4 linked regions of the Arabidopsis thaliana genome follow. The protein of the gene in region 2 interacts with the protein of the main gene of each other region in a pairwise test. Each region holds a gene or a part of one and is shown on either strand. Other genes may lie near its edges.

What was found.
Region 1: the proteins of AT2G02060 (region 2) and GATA4 interact in a two-hybrid assay, tested with the Arabidopsis thaliana proteins (one large-scale study listed by BioGRID).
Region 3: the proteins of AT2G02060 (region 2) and HSFA9 interact in a two-hybrid assay, tested with the Arabidopsis thaliana proteins (one large-scale study listed by BioGRID).
Region 4: the proteins of AT2G02060 (region 2) and AT4G16141 interact in a two-hybrid assay, tested with the Arabidopsis thaliana proteins (one large-scale study listed by BioGRID).

Annotation. Positions count from the first base shown.
Region 1 is NC_003074.8:22,370,986-22,375,066, forward strand, and holds GATA4 (GATA transcription factor 4), read left to right. Parts: upstream 1-2,027; 5' UTR 2,028-2,362; coding exon 2,363-2,572; intron 2,573-2,649; coding exon 2,650-3,162; 3' UTR 3,163-3,569; downstream 3,570-4,081. UniProt on the Arabidopsis thaliana protein: Transcriptional activator that specifically binds 5'-GATA-3' or 5'-GAT-3' motifs within gene promoters. May be involved in the regulation of some light-responsive genes.
Region 2 is NC_003071.7:492,889-498,327, reverse strand, and holds AT2G02060 (Homeodomain-like superfamily protein), read right to left. Parts: upstream 3,584-5,439; 5' UTR 3,568-3,583; intron 2,948-3,567; exon of another isoform or gene 2,653-2,947; 5' UTR 2,638-2,652; coding exon 2,478-2,637; intron 2,284-2,477; exon of another isoform or gene 2,246-2,283; intron 2,060-2,245; coding exon 1,983-2,059; intron 1,877-1,982; coding exon 1,837-1,876; intron 1,564-1,836; coding exon 1,422-1,563; intron 1,297-1,421; coding exon 1,167-1,296; intron 941-1,166; coding exon 719-940; 3' UTR 550-718; downstream 1-549. Other genes in the region: AT2G02061 (Nucleotide-diphospho-sugar transferase family protein), read right to left, coding at 4-303.
Region 3 is NC_003076.8:21,942,104-21,946,156, reverse strand, and holds HSFA9 (heat shock transcription factor A9), read right to left. Parts: upstream 2,175-4,053; 5' UTR 2,140-2,174; coding exon 1,750-2,139; intron 1,671-1,749; coding exon 1,065-1,670; 3' UTR 733-1,064; exon of another isoform or gene 655-732; 3' UTR 506-654; downstream 1-505. Other genes in the region: HGO (homogentisate 1,2-dioxygenase), read right to left, coding at 47-237; AT5G54067 (B3 domain protein), read left to right, coding at 4,011-4,053.
Region 4 is NC_003075.7:9,130,971-9,134,746, forward strand, and holds AT4G16141 (GATA type zinc finger transcription factor family protein), read right to left. Parts: upstream 2,192-3,776; 5' UTR 2,005-2,191; intron 1,924-2,004; coding exon 1,750-1,923; intron 1,322-1,749; coding exon 902-1,321; 3' UTR 562-901; downstream 1-561. Other genes in the region: IMPA-2 (importin alpha), read right to left, coding at 3,480-3,776.

The sequences.
Region 1 (4,081 bases), on a different chromosome or scaffold from region 2:
TTTACCTAAATTCTAATTCAATTGTACCTTGTAATTAGATGGTTAAGACATAAGAAATCAGATACATCTGCCCGAATTAGAGCCTTATGATGATTGGCGGTGCCACATAAAAATTGAACACAAGATAGTGATGCATATGAATGTTTATATTTTAGCCGAATATGAACACAATGTTCGCAACAATTGGTTCCCCATTCTTTATATCATATGCATGTGCCGTGCGTGTTTGTACATATATGAGTAGTTTCTGTATAGTTGAAAAACTGAATAAATTAATGAAGGAGCAATGCATGAAAGAGACATAAGAAGATAAATGATAGGGAAAAAATATGTATATATAAACCTAAAAAGAGGGCCATAGGAATTTATAGAACCAAAGTGCAATGCACTTCGGATCGTCGGTCGACTCATCTCCTTCATTGTCTCCATCCATTTTCCCATTCCCCACTACATTTTTATAGTTATCTCTTCAATGTTTAAAATAATATGTCAAAACAACTCTTTATCAAAACTAAATTTTCGTTACTTCTGGTAGTAAGGATATTTCTAAACGTTATCACATTAGTTATTAATCAAACCTGTGAAAGACATGCTAGGTTACTGAAGAATGATATTAGATACTTGTGTACACTCTATTCTACAACGATCGAAGCTAGTCCCACTTCTGTGTCTCTTTCTTTTTCTGTAAGTGTGATTGCAAAATGCGAAATATTCATGTAAGCACAAGAAACAAGATAGTTATACATTCGCATCACTTTGTATTAATAAATTGTTGAGCCAATTTTGTTCTCTATTTCCTTGTTTTGGTCATGTTGAAATTCAACTCTATGATTGATTACACATTCCGGAGAATATTATTTTATTTTCTTTGAACAAGAAAACATAAAAAAAAAAAAAAACTCAACGGGATACTAAATGATCCAACTCACAAATTTCAACAAAATTAAGAAAAAAAATCGGAAAACCTTTTTAGGAGATGGCAGAAGAATTTAATTAACAAAAGGGAGAGAGGCTTATTGAAAAAAATAAAATTAGTAACCTTGCATTTATTTAATTTCCCCTTCATTACTTGTTTAAATTAATAAAACTATAGACTATGATCTATAATGAGTTTATTGCAAATAAGGCATTTGTCTTAGATATATATTTTATTTTAGGCACTTTTGAAATGATCTTTAGATTTAGGCACTTCTTTCCTGGGGAAAGTCGTTTTTACCCTTACAGAGAGATGATGTTGTTCTTTCTTTGTTGATGAACTTTTACGTTTTACACTAGAAATCAAAAATACTTGCGACCAACACCAACAACTTTGGAGTCATTGATTACAGAGTGATGTCAGCGACGATTGGAAATTCAGACGACTAACAATCGGTCCTCATGAGATGTGAATGCGATCTAGATTTTTAACATCCCACATTTTGAGATCTGGAAAAAAAAAACAAGAAACAAAAAAGTCCCACGATTTAGTATTACGATTTGCACGTTTTTTTGTTCAGTGATTTTTGTGCAGGTTAAGGAATTCAAGAAGTGATTGATACTTTGTTGATTGCTCAATTGATGTTCATAATCATGTCTACAAGTACATTGATTTTTGTTCATGTTAATGGTGTTTGATGATAATGAGGATGGTTGTAGTGTTGTGTTATTGTGTGTATGTAAGAATTGCATACTCTATATTTGACGGTTTGGGTTTACAAGTCTAATTCTAGGGTATAGCGTTTACCATTGACGCCGTTCGTTACCCCTCGTTGTCAAAGCCGTGAACCACCACCAAATCTTTGTGCTATCGTCAAAGCTTCATGCCTACCGTCGAAGCTGCAAGTCCACTATCTAAGCCATATATCTTTGGATGTCAAAAGAAACTTAAAATTGAATCAGAGATGGGGATACAATTTTTAGAAGATAAACACATTCTTTTCACCTCATTCTCAACTCCAGTTCATAGTTTAAGGGCAAAAATGTCCGTAACAATAAAAATTGAAGTATTATATGCTTTTACTGTTTAGAGTGTCTGTTTTGAAAGAAATGTTTTCAAAATGCTTGTTTAGAATATAAGCTCGATCTATAATATATGCGTTTTTAAAAAAAGACTAGTATATGCATTATGTAATTCATGGTTAATTAATCCTCTGGTAAGTAAATTAAATAGCACATGCATGTTCAAAGAAAAATGTAGACAAATATATTAAAGTGGATAAATAAATAGAAAAAAAGGGAGTGGTCAGGTCAGTCTCGGTGCATGCTAACTCTATGCACGTTCTCATCTTCGTCTCTTTCCTCACTTACACTAATTCTCTCTCTCTATATTAAACCTCTGAACCAGTGACCACATACATACTCAGTAAGCGAGTCCGAGTCAACAATGGACGTCTACGGCATGTCTTCACCGGACTTGCTTCGTATCGACGACCTTCTCGATTTCTCCAACGACGAAATCTTCTCTTCCTCTTCCACCGTCACTTCCTCCGCCGCTTCCTCCGCCGCTTCTTCCGAAAACCCTTTCAGCTTTCCTTCTTCCACCTACACTTCTCCTACTCTCCTCACCGACTTCACTCACGATCTCTGCGTTCCCGTACGTTTTCAAATTTCAATTTACCCTAATTTTGATTTTGATTTTGAATTTCTAAGTTCTGATTTTGAGTTTTGCAGAGTGACGACGCAGCTCATCTCGAATGGTTATCGCGATTCGTTGACGATTCATTCTCCGATTTCCCAGCAAATCCTTTAACCATGACCGTTAGACCCGAGATTTCATTCACCGGAAAACCTAGAAGTCGCCGATCAAGAGCACCAGCACCTTCCGTAGCTGGAACTTGGGCTCCGATGTCTGAATCAGAGCTTTGTCACTCCGTCGCTAAACCTAAACCGAAGAAAGTCTACAACGCTGAATCGGTTACGGCGGATGGAGCGAGGCGGTGCACGCACTGTGCCTCGGAGAAAACGCCACAGTGGAGAACTGGACCGCTTGGACCTAAAACACTTTGTAACGCTTGTGGAGTTCGTTACAAATCAGGGAGGCTTGTACCGGAATACAGACCGGCGTCGAGTCCGACGTTTGTATTGACTCAGCATTCGAACTCTCATCGGAAAGTTATGGAGCTCCGGCGACAGAAGGAACAACAAGAATCTTGCGTTCGAATTCCGCCGTTTCAGCCGCAGTAAATTTGGGGGTTTTCTTTTCAAGGGTTTTTGTGATTTGGTGACGTGTCGTAATCTTAACGGTGATGATCACGTGACCGACGGGAGGGGTTAAGGACTTAATTATCAGTATTAGTTTAAAGTTTGCAAATCTCTGCTAATTAATTTGTTGGTAATTTCTATTGATTTTTTTCTTGCTTTTGTTTATTGGTCTCACGGCTCTCCTTAAAGTTATATCATTAAATGATTTCATTGGCGGCATTTAATTTTCCTCTTTTCAGATATAAAAGCTTCTCAACCACCATGGACTCTGCTTTTTGTGACTTATGATGTTATATCACACATGACAATGCTGGTTAATCTTCATACATACATCATACATGTTACATGCTTGAGAATTTGAGTTTTTGGCATTTCACGAGGCAATTCAGTTTACTACTTTCTTAAAAAATAGTAACCTAAGCCATACCAAACCTAACTCTCTCTGGTTTAGGCTATTCAAATCTAACAATTTTTCGCTTTATTCCATCTGAACCAAAAATTACCAATACTCTTATACAAAGTGCTTAAACCTCTTATAAATAAACTAAACTGGTTAGGCGGTAACACCGAAACAGAACAAACAAATGATCTGAAAATTGAACCATAATGTGGTGTATAGTGTCACCGTTATTCAAATCCAGAACCCCGACAGACCGAATCCTAATAGAAACCAAAGCAAGGTCTTAACATTAAGATATCGAACCAGAAATACCATACAAAACTAATCTAATTTGGTTAATTTTCCGCTTAAACTATCAACTAAACCAAGCCAAGAAAAAAGAGGATCAAATATATGTATAAAGAAAGACAAAAATTCAAATATCAAGAAACTGCAAAAATGTTGAGGTCAATTGAGACTACTCAAGAAAACAACAACAAAACTCAAAACATGAATGAAACT
Region 2 (5,439 bases):
CACCGGAGACAGAGACGGAGATGGAGACGGAGACGAAGAAGAATCGTTGACAGAGGGGAAAATGCGAGAGAGGGTGGAGGAAGAGTCAGAGACGATTCGGAGATAACCAGAAGTTCTGTAGAGGGAGAAGCAGAAGCAGATGAAGAAGAGCAAGAGAACGGCTCGGAGTACATTGCCGGAGCACGGTGGGATTACGACGGAAGTTACGGCGGCGGCGGCGGAGGAAGAATGATTCTCGTCGGAGTAAGAATCGTTGAGTATCGCCGTCTTGGAATTGGAGCCAAAACGGTTCGATAGATTCATCTTCGCCGACGTTGACGACGTTGGTCATCGTCTGGGCGGTTATAAGGTAGTTTCAAGTTTTTTGAATGTAAAACGCGGCGTTTAATGAGTTTACCCTCCAACGATGAAACGCAGCGTTTAATGGGTTTTATCTGCGAGATTATTTTTTCTACCGTAGGATTGCCGACCAAAATAACAATGAACATTCTAAACCGTAGGATCTTGATATAGAAACGCTGCGTTTAGGGGTTATCCTTCAAAGATCAAAACACTGCGTTTGGCTCTGTTTGTTAATTTTCCGTTCAAAGGCGATCAAAACGCTGCGTTGATAATTTATCTAAACTTCATTTTCTAGGTTTCTCTACTAACATTCAATATCCTAGTTTCAAAAACACATCCGAATAGTTTCTCTGAACCTAAATCTTGCATAACTTATTTAGCTACCGAGGAGAGAAATTGACAGATTAAGATCAATCTTTGAAGAACCAAAGCAATCTTTGGATACGAATGGTGCTGAACAAGTCGAGACTGCTGCTTCACTCGTTTCGCTCACCACCGATGATCCATTGCTTCTCCAATGATGATGATTTAACGACAGAGACAACGACAAATCTTCTTCTTCTTCTTCGTGTTCTTGTTCCCGCCACTCCTCTGTTCCCTAATGAACCAAAAGACAAAATTAGTTACCAAACCGGACTAAAACCGGTTAAATGCCATTTATATGAAACTAATTAGATTCAATGACAAGTAGTACTTAAACCGGACTCAATCCCTTTGGATTTGACCAGTCTCAATCAGACCGGTTAGAACTCATAACCGGACTTGATTTTGTTTTGCAACATTAAATTTCCAAACCGGTTGACAAAAGAGAAATTTATTTATACCTTGGGGAAATGATGTGACAAAAACGTCGTCGTATCGTTCATCTTCTTGATGTGAAGAAAGTCAGCATCATCATCATAACCACCAGACTCTGAAGTCTGCTGCTCTTTTGTTCTTCCTCCTCCTCCTCCTCTGCACCAAAGTAAAAGGACAATTCAAATACAGACAAACAAAAAAGCAAAACACTTTTTTTTTTTTTTTACTGAAATAAAATTAAAAAACTTTGTCAGAAAACAATTATAAATAAAAATAAATACCTAAATGAAGAATGTGAAGAAAGAGGAAAAGAGTGAAAACCCAAAAGACAATCATTCCTTGTGTGTAAAGACAAGTTGTCATGAAGATAATAATCTTCTTCACTGTCTTGTCTTCTTCTTATTGAAGATGATGAGCTTTCTTCTGTGTAAGAAACAATAAAAACTAGTTAATGAATATTCTCTTATTTTCTGTTCTATTACTCTTGAAAAATATATAAATGTATTTATGACATTTGTCTTATGAATCATGACACTAGACCAATAGTACATACTACAAACAGATACAGTAAAATAATTAAATTCCATCCATTATTATGTGTTTGATGTTAACAGTTCAAATTAAAATCAACGGTCCCATTCTTTTTCCAAATATCATCATTGATTCATTTCATAATTATAAGGAAAAAAATAATACCTGGTTTCTCCAAAGTGAGCTTTGAACCTCCTCTATACATCTGTTTATATATATGTTCAAAACAATCAAAACAAGGTGTTATGAATGAAATATGAATAAAGAAGAAAACAAAATTGATGTTTTTGGTAAAATTAATTACTATTTACCTGAAGGTGGCTTTTGACATGTGAAATGGTAAGTCCCTTCACATCCATCATCTTAAGAACAAGTTTTGGTGTTGCTCCTGTTTCATCAAACCCAACAAAATATCAAAAAGGTGACTATGATGATTCTTTATGAAAAAAAACAAAAACTCAAACTTTATGAATGAAACAAAACAACAAAAGCGTGAAGGTTTTGACTCGGTAACTTGACAAAGATGATTCATTACGATGATGAAGATAAACAACACAATAAGGAAACTTCAAACCTTTTTTTTAGCATAAAAATCCAAACTTTGAAGATAAGAATGAAACAAAGTAACAAAAGTGTGAAGATTTTATTCAAAAACTGATTTTTTACGATGATTGAGACAAAAGAATGAGAAAAGTCCAATTTTTCTAGTTATATCGTAACTTTAGGATGTTTGAAGCAAACAAACACACAAAAGTTTGGTTTTTTTCACAAAAGATTTGAAGAGAAAAAAAGTATAATAAACTTACGGTGTTGACCACCGAGAATCTCGACGGCGTGAACGAAACAACGGTGAAGATCCGGCGTCCATCTAAGCCGTGGAACTGGAGACCGTACGTAAGGTCTAACTCCGTGAAATTTATTGCCGTTAAAGCTTCCGTTACCATTTCTACCACTAGACTTACCCATATCGTTTCAAGAACCCTAAAAACCGACACAAAGATTCGATTTTTACTTAAACCCAAGAGAAAAAAAGGTTTGATATGTTTTGGTTCTGTGAAGAGGAGAGAAAGAGAAACGAGGAGAGGAGGATTTGAGAGGTGTGTGGGTTGGGATTAAAAGAGCAAGTTTTTGTTTTTGGCTTCTTTCTTAAAGATGACTGTCTCTTTTTCCATCTATTCTTTTTGTCTCTTTTTGGATTCATTCATACTTATTATTATCTCTCTATATATGTTTTGCAAAATTCCAAAAAATAATTATTAAAACTTGAGAAATGTTTCATTCATTTTTTTTGTTAAATATCAATTTGAGTTCTTACGAAAAAACTACATTAATTAAAAGAGAGTTATAATTTTGTTGTTTAAGAATTGTTCATGACATATACGTGAGGAATTTGAGGATACGTAAACTATCGTAAAGTCAAAATTTCATAATCTGATATGGTTTATGGTTGGGTCACTTATTTAGACGATTAAACTAGCAAATAAAAAGAATGATGTTATAAAATTGGTTTATTATACTAAACAGAGAGGTGACATGTGTTTTTTGACCTACAAGCTTGTAGTAATCATACGAAAATCCATTTGACTTTGGTTACAAAAGTAGTAATCATACGAAAATCCATTTGACTTTGGTTACATTAGTCTTGACTCGTGACCCCATTCATTATTATCTTAAATAATTTTTTTAAATAGTTTTCGAGAGAATCATTGCATATCAACGTACCAGAGAACTACACAAGGCTACATACATAACTTGCATGAAAAGAACATAGATTCGAGTATTACCCTTGCCCCGATCGATATATAACCAATTGAACATACATTTGTTAGCTTAGCTGGTCAAAAGAATATACTTGTCATAGAAAAACCAAATTTTGTAAGAACACATAATATTTACCTTATAGGGATTTGGGATTTACCCAAATGAAGAAGTTTCCTCCACAGTACCTCAAACTTTACTTTCTCACTTTTTTCACGATAGGTTTTAGACCAAAACGAATAAATTTAAATGAAAATAGCCCAACTGCTTAGCTTTGACCATATAGCATAATTATTATTCCTATTTTTGTTTTTTGTTTTGTTTTTTTAGGGTTTCGTGTTAAACTTTCTGATTTCAAATAAATCACACAATTTTACAATGGTCCTTCGTTATGTCTTTTGGACCACCGTTTTGACTTCATTCCCCTAATTCCTTTACATTTTCTCCCATTTCCCATTCATTTTCCTTCTTATTGTTTTCTTTTTCACTCCCATAATAAGTGATAATAAATCTTAGGATAATATTTATAACAAGAATTATTTATTTTCCCCATTTTTCTTTTTCTCATTGCTGATTTGGTGTACATGGAAGACGAACCAAAACCATCATGTCCCTATATGGTAGCCGACAATAATTACTGATTTCGCCAGTTTTTTCCAACCATGGATTCAATATTTTAATCAACGAATTGTGGACATAAATCACGTTATTTTATCAGCTATTCTACTATTAACTACTTATATTAACATCAAATACTGTTTTTAAATGATGTATGTATTTCTTGTAAGAAATTAAGTACTAGTATATAATTTTTATGTAGTATTAGAAAGTAATTGATTTGTACTACATACTTACTCGTGGTTTACGTGGTATCAGCCATAATAATAAAAAAATAAGAAAAAGCCGATTGAGTATTAATTAAGAGAACAAAATTTAATAATTTATAATTTAACAAAGTCGTCGTCTTTATTCCACACATAAATCAGACATTTCTATACCCAACGAAAAAAACAATCAAATAATAAAATCTACACACAAAGTGAGGTCATTGACCTTTAAAATGTAGCCTATTGTGCTTTGCATTTTCTTCTCATTTATGCACATTCTCTAAATTATTATAAAAACGTGGAATTCTCTGCATATATGCCAAAATTCGCTTTAACGATTTTAAAAATGGTTTAGTGTTTGATTAGACGGTAATTAAAATATAATATTCAGTCACCAGCTTGTCAAAGACACACGAGTTGCTTATATTACCTATATATTGACTAGAAGAATAATACAAAAAGCTACCTAGGTTATGATCATTGATCAAAATAATCAAGTAAACACATTCCAAAAGGTTTTATCAGTGAAACAATTTTACTATATTCACTAATAAAGCCTTTTATTATCCTACTGATGATCATTGATCGATAAACACAATTGCATGGATGGATAAAATGTCTAACCGAGAGTTCAAGTCTCAAAAATCAAAATGGTTAGTACTAATACATGTATGAGAGAAAGTGGAAGCAAATGAAAATAATACATTAAATGAGTCTGGCAGAGACAAATAGCTCCAAGAGAAATTGAATGAGTAATTGACTGTGGAGGTCCATGATTCATGGCTTTTACCACAATCAAAACATTCAATAATTCTCTTTGCTTGTTTTTTTATTAATATTATAAAACTTTGTACATACATGTAAGATAATGTAACCCAACTGGATTTTGGACTATAAAAAACATAACATTCTTTTTTGTGTGTGGAAAATTTGGATGTGCAAATCTCACCGAACCATTCGACGATTATCAATGTTAATTTATTATTCTATTGGGTCAATTTTCTCATCACCCATTGATTGAATTCAATCATAGCACATGCAAGAACAAGGCAAATTCTAAGATGGTTAAAGTAATATAAAAGGTGTAATCCATGAAACACCTAGAGAGAACAGAGAAGAATTAGCCTTTTCACACCTAAAATAACATTAAACAAAAGTGAAAGAGAGTTGTTTAAAAGTTTGA
Region 3 (4,053 bases), on a different chromosome or scaffold from region 2:
AATTCAACGAAATTATCCAAAACTTACAATTGAAATGATGATGTACCTTCTTTGATTGAGCTTGCGAGGAGAAGTGAAAGAAGTACCGGAGATCTGTTCGGCGTAAAGACCGTAAGGACAAAGAAGAGGACTGTTCTGATCTAACGGTAAAGCTCCGGCGATTGCTTCCGATGAGAAGTGGTTACCAAAACCTGATTGATACTTCAACTCTTCAAGCTCCTTCTTCTTCTCTTCCATGGCTTCTTCACATCAGAGAGAGGAGCTTGTTAAAGAGAGAGACGATGATCGATACATATATTTAATAACGTGGAGGAATGATGATGACGTGGCATACTGATCAAAGAGGAAGAAGAAATGACGTCTGAATTTAAAACTCTTTTTCCTAACAAAACCATAATCTCTAACTATTGGGCTTGAACATATATGGGTTTTGTATACAATTAGGCCCATAAGCTTATGATTTCTTTTTTCTTACGAATTTTGCGTCCCACATCGGTAAGCGAGTGAAGAAATAACTGCTTTATATATGGCTACAAAGCACCATTGGTCACGACCTTACTTGAACAGGATCTGTTCTATAGGCTCGTACCTCTGTTTCCTTGATTTCTCAAGAGACAGGCCCTTAACCCTGGTTGATGAACCATGACCGTGCGGCTAGAGCGTGATTGACGGCTACGATCGTCCTCGGACGCATCCGGTGCTGTAGAGGATCGTTACTCGGCTCGGTTCTACCTTGCCGGGGTGGTCGCACGGCGGTCTGACAGGTTCTTTTATTTTTTCACCCTCAAAACTTTGAATGAATTTCTTCTATTTTATGCTACAAGTCACTACTCGCTAGTTAAAAAATTATTAGTAATGGAAGGCGATGGCAACAGTTAACCAGAGCTACACTTTTTTACAAGTCCCTTTTCACTAGAGCTACACTTTTTTACAAGTCCTTGAGTCGCTTTTTACAAGTCCCTTTCGCTTATATACACATGAAACCATACAACAAAGCGCTACGGATTCGGATCTCAAGCCTTGGGATTTGGTACCTTCTCTATTGCTATGTTACCGGTTTTGCTCTACTCTATCTCTATCCTCCCATTTACATCCATTGAGCCACCGTCAACAAGTAGGTCCTCTGAGTTAAGCTGACATCTCGTATTCCCGCTTTGATTGTTCACCAAAATGTCAGGCTCGGGATTGTGTTCTGTTGCAGCCATGGCCATAAATTCTCTTTCTACATCTAACAAGTTCTTTTGAGTTTCTTGATCCTGAAGCAACTTGAGCTTCTTCACGAATTCAGCTGCTTCTAGCTCTCTCTGTATTTTCATCTTTCTCTTCTTCACCAGTCTCTCTACAAATCTTTGATCTTTAGCCAACTTTGCAAAGAAACTAAGCATATGCTGTTGTTCGGTATCAACTCCGTGGATCTTCTCCTGCACAGTGACCATCTGATGTTGAGATTCTTCTTGTTGTTGTTTCAGCTTCAACATCTCCAATCTCATTGGACTCTGTTCCTCCTTCAATGACTCAACCTCAGTCTCTGTCGTGGTGGTACTCGCTTCCTTGTTACAACATTTAGTGTTTTTGCTTCTCCTCTTGATGTTCTTAAGCAAATGTTTCTTCCCTCCTTGAAACCCTTCGTTAGCAAATTCCCACCTATCTGAATCGACCTTTTTAAAACCCTACAAAAAAACTCTAGTTTTTACAAAGCTTGTAAAGCAAGAAACATAGCTAAAGAGTAAAAACTTGTTCTGTGCTTACGTAAGAGTTAAGCTGACGAATAAAACTGGAGAAGTTCTTGTGCTTGAAGTATTTGGGAAGTAGATTCTCTGAGAACTCGTAAGAATCCCAAATGATAAAGCTTTTACGGGTCGGGCTCCATGATACAACCGGGTCTGTTACTTTGTCATCGACGATCTCAAACGTCTTTCTCAAGAACGGTGTTATTAAACCTATCTCGTGCAATTTCCAAAAACCAAGTGACAAGTTAACGGCGTCATCCTCCTCTTCCTTGATTAGTAAAACGACGTCGTCTGGCTTTGAAGATGAATCAGACGAGCCTCTTTCAACGGTGACGGTCTCCGTTGCCGTCTCTTGACAAAGCGAAGAGGAAGAAGATTCAATATCGACGACGTTTGGAATTGCCGTCATAGTAGCTTCCTACACCGTTTCTATTTCTTGTATTAACTTTTTGGTCGTTTATTGTAAGAAATACATCAGTGTTACTATCAAAAAGCTGCCACATTATAACCCATTTTTTTGGAATATAACAATTTATTAACACCTGTATATCTCCAGCTAGCCGTTGGATCTTTGTGGTCGGTCAAGATGAATCGGTCGTCCATTGAATTTGATTTCATGCATGAGGACAAGTGTCGCTTAGGGAAAGCATATACATCAGTTAAAATGCTACTATGCAAGTGCTTTTTTTTTAATAAAGAAGAGAGTTAAAAGATAATTTTGTTAGCTAGAGTTACAGGGCTGTGAGTCTGTGATCAGAGCTCTGTTATTCTTCTATATGATGATAAAATTCATATATTATTGTAGACGATGATAAAACTTATATTGAATTGAAATAGCAGCCATGCTTGTGAATATTAAAACTAGAAATTTTTACTGTAACGTCAATGTTATACGCACTAGAAAATCAAAATGCAATATAGAGTTTTAAGGAATATATAAAGAGACTTAATGGTCGATAAAGAGATCAAAAACAAACTTGTTATAGCGGTTGCATTGGTTGTGGCCGCAGGTGAAGAAGCGACGGTTACATAGGCGATAATGGATTAAACGACGAGCCTTGAGTGAATCCGGTGGGAAGATGAAAAAGGAAGAAACACCATGGCAGGTGAAATTCGACTATGCTCACATTGCAACCATTGCATCGGTCTAACTTCCTCTTTCATATACTCACATTTTTACGAGAATCAACCAAACAATCGTTGCGAGAGAAGCACTTGGATCCTACCTTCCATTGCACTTACTGTTTCCTTGTTTTAAGAGTGAAATGTTTGATTGTGATGGCTTTGGTTATCACAAGAAACAAACAATTGTATAGAGTAACTCAAGTTAATACTCATTACTGTTTATTACAATAGTTACATTTTAAAATTCGTCCGTTATGTCAACCTTTGAAACAAAACATGGAATAGAATTTATACCATGTTGACTGTTAACATTGTAGTAAATAAGATGTATTCAAAGTACTAAAAGAAGTAACAGTCTACTTTACTGACTAAACTTTACTAACTATATAACAGCAAAGTTTATAACTAATATAAAATGAAGCTTTTGGGCTACCTAACCGACATGCCACAACCAAATTTGTTGCTCTGCATGGGTCCTTTTGCAAGATTGGCACGACTCATAAAAATGCTCCCAAAAGTCCGTACTACAAAAAGTTTCGGAGGATTAAAACTATTCTAAATTTCTAATCTTATTCTAATTAAAATGCTCCCAAACGTACGTACCCTACAACAAGCTTAGCAACGACCTAAATTAAATTTCAGATTTTTTATACTTTTTGTTGAGTGAATATGATTACTTTGGGCTTGCAAAACACTTAAATATGTCAAATGGTCCGTTTATAGATTATTGAGCGTTTTCGTGTGGACAATTTCTTTTGTGGGCTGAAGTTGGGCGGTCCATAATGGATTACAACGATCCATTGGAGCCGGCTATGATACTATTGTAAATATTATATTGGTTCGGGGCAGCAATGTAATTGGTTGGAACGCTCAAAAAGAGATTGAGAATAGAAATGGAAATGATCTAAATCAATAATTTGCACAAAACTTTATTCTCAATTTACCAAGTGAAAGTTATCTAAATCTAATATTTTGCAAAAAGTTTACTTTCCAATTCCATATTAAGAGAAATCTAGATATTTAGACAATTTTCTAATTTGTTTCAAAAAGAGTTCTGATTTTTTCTCTTTTGTATTTTACCTTTTTTCTTAGGCTAAATCTCCTATATATATGTTTGAATAGAGAACGTAAGAAATATAAAAAAAATTAAGCAAGATGAATTACAACGATCCATTGGAACCGGCTATGATCATAACAA
Region 4 (3,776 bases), on a different chromosome or scaffold from region 2:
CAGCCGCAAAATTTAATCTATAAATGCCATTTTCTTATTATCCTTCCATATTTTAGACGACAGGACGACATGCTAGAGAAATTTATATATAATCGTTTTAGAGTTTACCAATTAAATAAATAAATATCTAAAAATATAAAGAGAATAATATCTTTTAATTTTGGAAGCCAGAAAAATGTTTTATAACCTTTTGTTGTAAAAAAAAAGGACGTGAAAAAAAAGAAAAAAAAGAATCGCAATAAAATGAGAAGAGAGACCCAATTGTCTCCATCACCGGCTCTTATTTTTTTTTTTGTAATAAAAAAAATCTGTTTTTATTATAATCATCAACGAAAAGCCCAAAACTCATGAGCTGTTTATAGCTGTCTCGTTCTGAGATCACGCGCTTCAAGATCGCGTGGAGGTCGAGATATCCAATATATGAACAGCTGGACTTTATTTTGGAGCAAAATTTTCAAAATTCACATTAGGTTTCCTTTCTAATTCATAATAGTTTTTAAAAATAAAAGACTCTTTATCAATTGATTGACCATTAGAGTTTACTCAAACAAATCGTTACTAGCGAGTAGTAGTGACAAAAAGATCCTTAAAATTCACAATTTTGGAACTAATAAAAGATCATTTTAAGCCACCTTTAAGCGAACAATTAAGAATAGAGACATATTACAAATCATTCAACTTCAAAGAAATGATCATTAATCAACTAAACCAGAGTTCATACGATAATTAATTAGTAGATGGCATATAACATTAGCTTGCCTCTAAAATTACATTAACTAATATATATGATAAGTAGGATTAATAATCCTCTCTTCATCATTTCCTCACTAACTTATTTTCCCTAATCTCTTTCACTCAACCATTACGACACATCAAAAAAAAAGGGTTAAGAGACAAAATCTCAACCACAAGAAAGAGCCATGAGAAGTACTGCGGCTCGTTCCTCTTCCCCAAGTTTCCTCCATAGCCTCTTCTTCTCCACAGCCGATCTCTTCATCGCCGGTACCTTAAACCCAAAATCCAAAAATCTACCAACCCTTTTCACGTTCTTCTTGTTATTATTGCTGCTACTGGAATTCTCAGGATCTCTCTTGATTTTGTTCTTGACATTTCCTGGTTCACCTTTGGCAATCTTGACAATTCCCGGTTCACATTTGGCAATCTTAACATTAACTGGTTCGCCTTTTCCGGTCTTGACATTTCGGCTCTCAAGACCAAGATTGTTATTACTTTTGCTCTTGATTTTAATATCATCTTGTCTAATTCCAAGAGCTGCTTGTCTCTTCTTTCTGCTCTTGATACCACACGCATTGCACAATGACTGCAAACAAAGTCAATCCATGATCAGACCAGAGAACAAATAGTGAACAATCATCAAACAGATCTAAAATTAAAGAGACATAACCATCTCTTAGTAAAAAAGGCATCATAAAAACAGTGTAACAATAATCTTAACCTGATCAATTAGTAATAAGGCTTCAAACACAGAATCAAAACAAAACATAGAGATCACATAACAAATTTAAATATCAACCACAGATTGACACAAACCTCGCATACCTAGACTATGTATACACATGATCACATCAATGAGACAAAACCCACTAGCAACAGAGCTAAGCACACAAGATCAACCTACATTTTAAGTGGATTCAAGTACCTATTTGACTAGATCTAACACATGAGACCTTAAAGCTTGGATTTTTAAGGGTTTAAAAGAAAATGGTAGAGAGAGATCATGATCCTTACTTTAGGGCCAGCAGGTCCACCACGCCAAAGAGGAGTCCTGCTTGTTCCGCAATCAACGCATGTCTTCTTCGTATCACCTCCACTTCCACTGCTACTACAGTTCCCGTTGTCTACATCGGACGAATCTCCCGCCGATTCGAGCTTCGTCGTCTTGGTTTCTTCCGTCATTGACATCTACAAAAGAAAAAGACAATTATTAAACGTGATCATCAACTACAAGTAAGAGAAGGATCAAAAACGATCATGGAAACTCACATTGATCCACTTCGAAGCGAGATAGGATTGAGAAGAATAGAAAACTCTGAAACAGAAGAAAGGAGAGTAACGGAAATGGCAGAGAAGGATCAAAGAGCTCTTCTTCTGCTTGAATGGCTCTCTGTGAAGTTTAGAGTGAAGATGATGATGATAAGGAAGAGAGAGAGACGCCGCAGAAGAATAACGGATAAAACAAACGGAGAGGGTTTTTATAATAAAGGAGGAGGCGGGGACTAATAAACCCTAGATTTCTCTTTCTTAATTACTTTTTTACCCTCGAGCGCGGTGTTTTATTACTATAGAACCACCCGCCAAAAAATAAAACAACCACAAACTGAAAAAAGAAGAGGGAAAATCATTTTACAACAACAACTTGTAACAAAGATCTTGTGGAAGGGGGTTTTTTGGTATCTTGCTTGCTTTGGTACCAAATTTGAAATTTTAATTCAAAACCTGGCGCACGAAATACATTGGATTTACTCGTTGTGGTTGTTTGCCACGTTAGATTTCCCTAATTGGGCTTAGAGATATGCATGCATTTTTTACCAGTCTTTTAGATATTTTGTGTAATTCTTCACAATGAAATACGAAAAATTTATGTAATAATATTAGGTATATCGAAGACATGCTCGTGTAGTGCAACTTTTTTTGTATGAAAATTACAAAACATCTCTCTTTTTGGTCAATTTCATCTTATTTAAATTTGTGTAATCGACTTATGAATATTTGAGTTCTTTTGGGTCCAAGGCATACCTACGCTTATAAACGACAGGGATTGAACAAAACATAGGATTTTTTTATTATTGAAACCCTCCCTACTTGAAGTTGACGATAACCATTAATAACATCGATTAATGGAAATATGTTGAAACTAGATACGCGTGCATATGTAGACAATAGCCCAAAATGACTTGGACCGCACTAAAATAGATTATAAAAAAAAACATTTACTATAAACAATAAAGAGACGAACCAATTGGGCTTTTATGTCACCAATAAGACCAAATAAAGTTTGACCAACTTTTTTATGTTTGACTTTGCAGTGTTGTGTAGTACAAATGTAACAAAAACCCAGAGAGACACATTCTCATCAGATCACACTTTAAAAACTTATAAACCCTTTCCCAAAAATAAATATCCCTTGATGACTCCTACCCAACTCCCCCCCAACAAGCTTATTCCATGACTCAAACCCACCAACCACTGGATCTGACCGGACCAGGCCAGACTAAGTAAGGCACCCCATCTGACTTTTACACAGAAGACCAGACTCTCTAATCATACCCTTTTTAACCAGTGCCCCCAAACTCTTTAAGCTCCTTCGACTCTTCAAATCGTCATGTTCAGCTCCTGTGGAAGCAAAACCAGACTCACAGATTCACACAAGGTAGACACACAGGCAGATTTACTCTGTTTGCTAGTCTAGCCTTAGATGCTTAGATAAATTAGTCCCAAGTAGTGAGGTTTTTTTACCTTCACTGGAAGTTGAATCCACCTGGTGGTACGGCTGCATCATTACCTCCTCCAAACTGGAAGCCTTGTGCAGAGGGATCACCAGGTGGTAAAGTTTCATCTTCCTCTTCCAACCAGTACGTTTCAAGAATCTTCACTGCCTTCTCATAGATTTCGCTGTTGTCATGACTCTGCAGATTCTCAATCTTTTCTAATCCCTCAGCATCATCGATCAGCTGTGCATAAAAGTTTACATCCCCGGTATTTCCTGTGACCTTTTCAGCTTCCCCAACTTTCAAAATGTTCTCCAATCCTTCCAG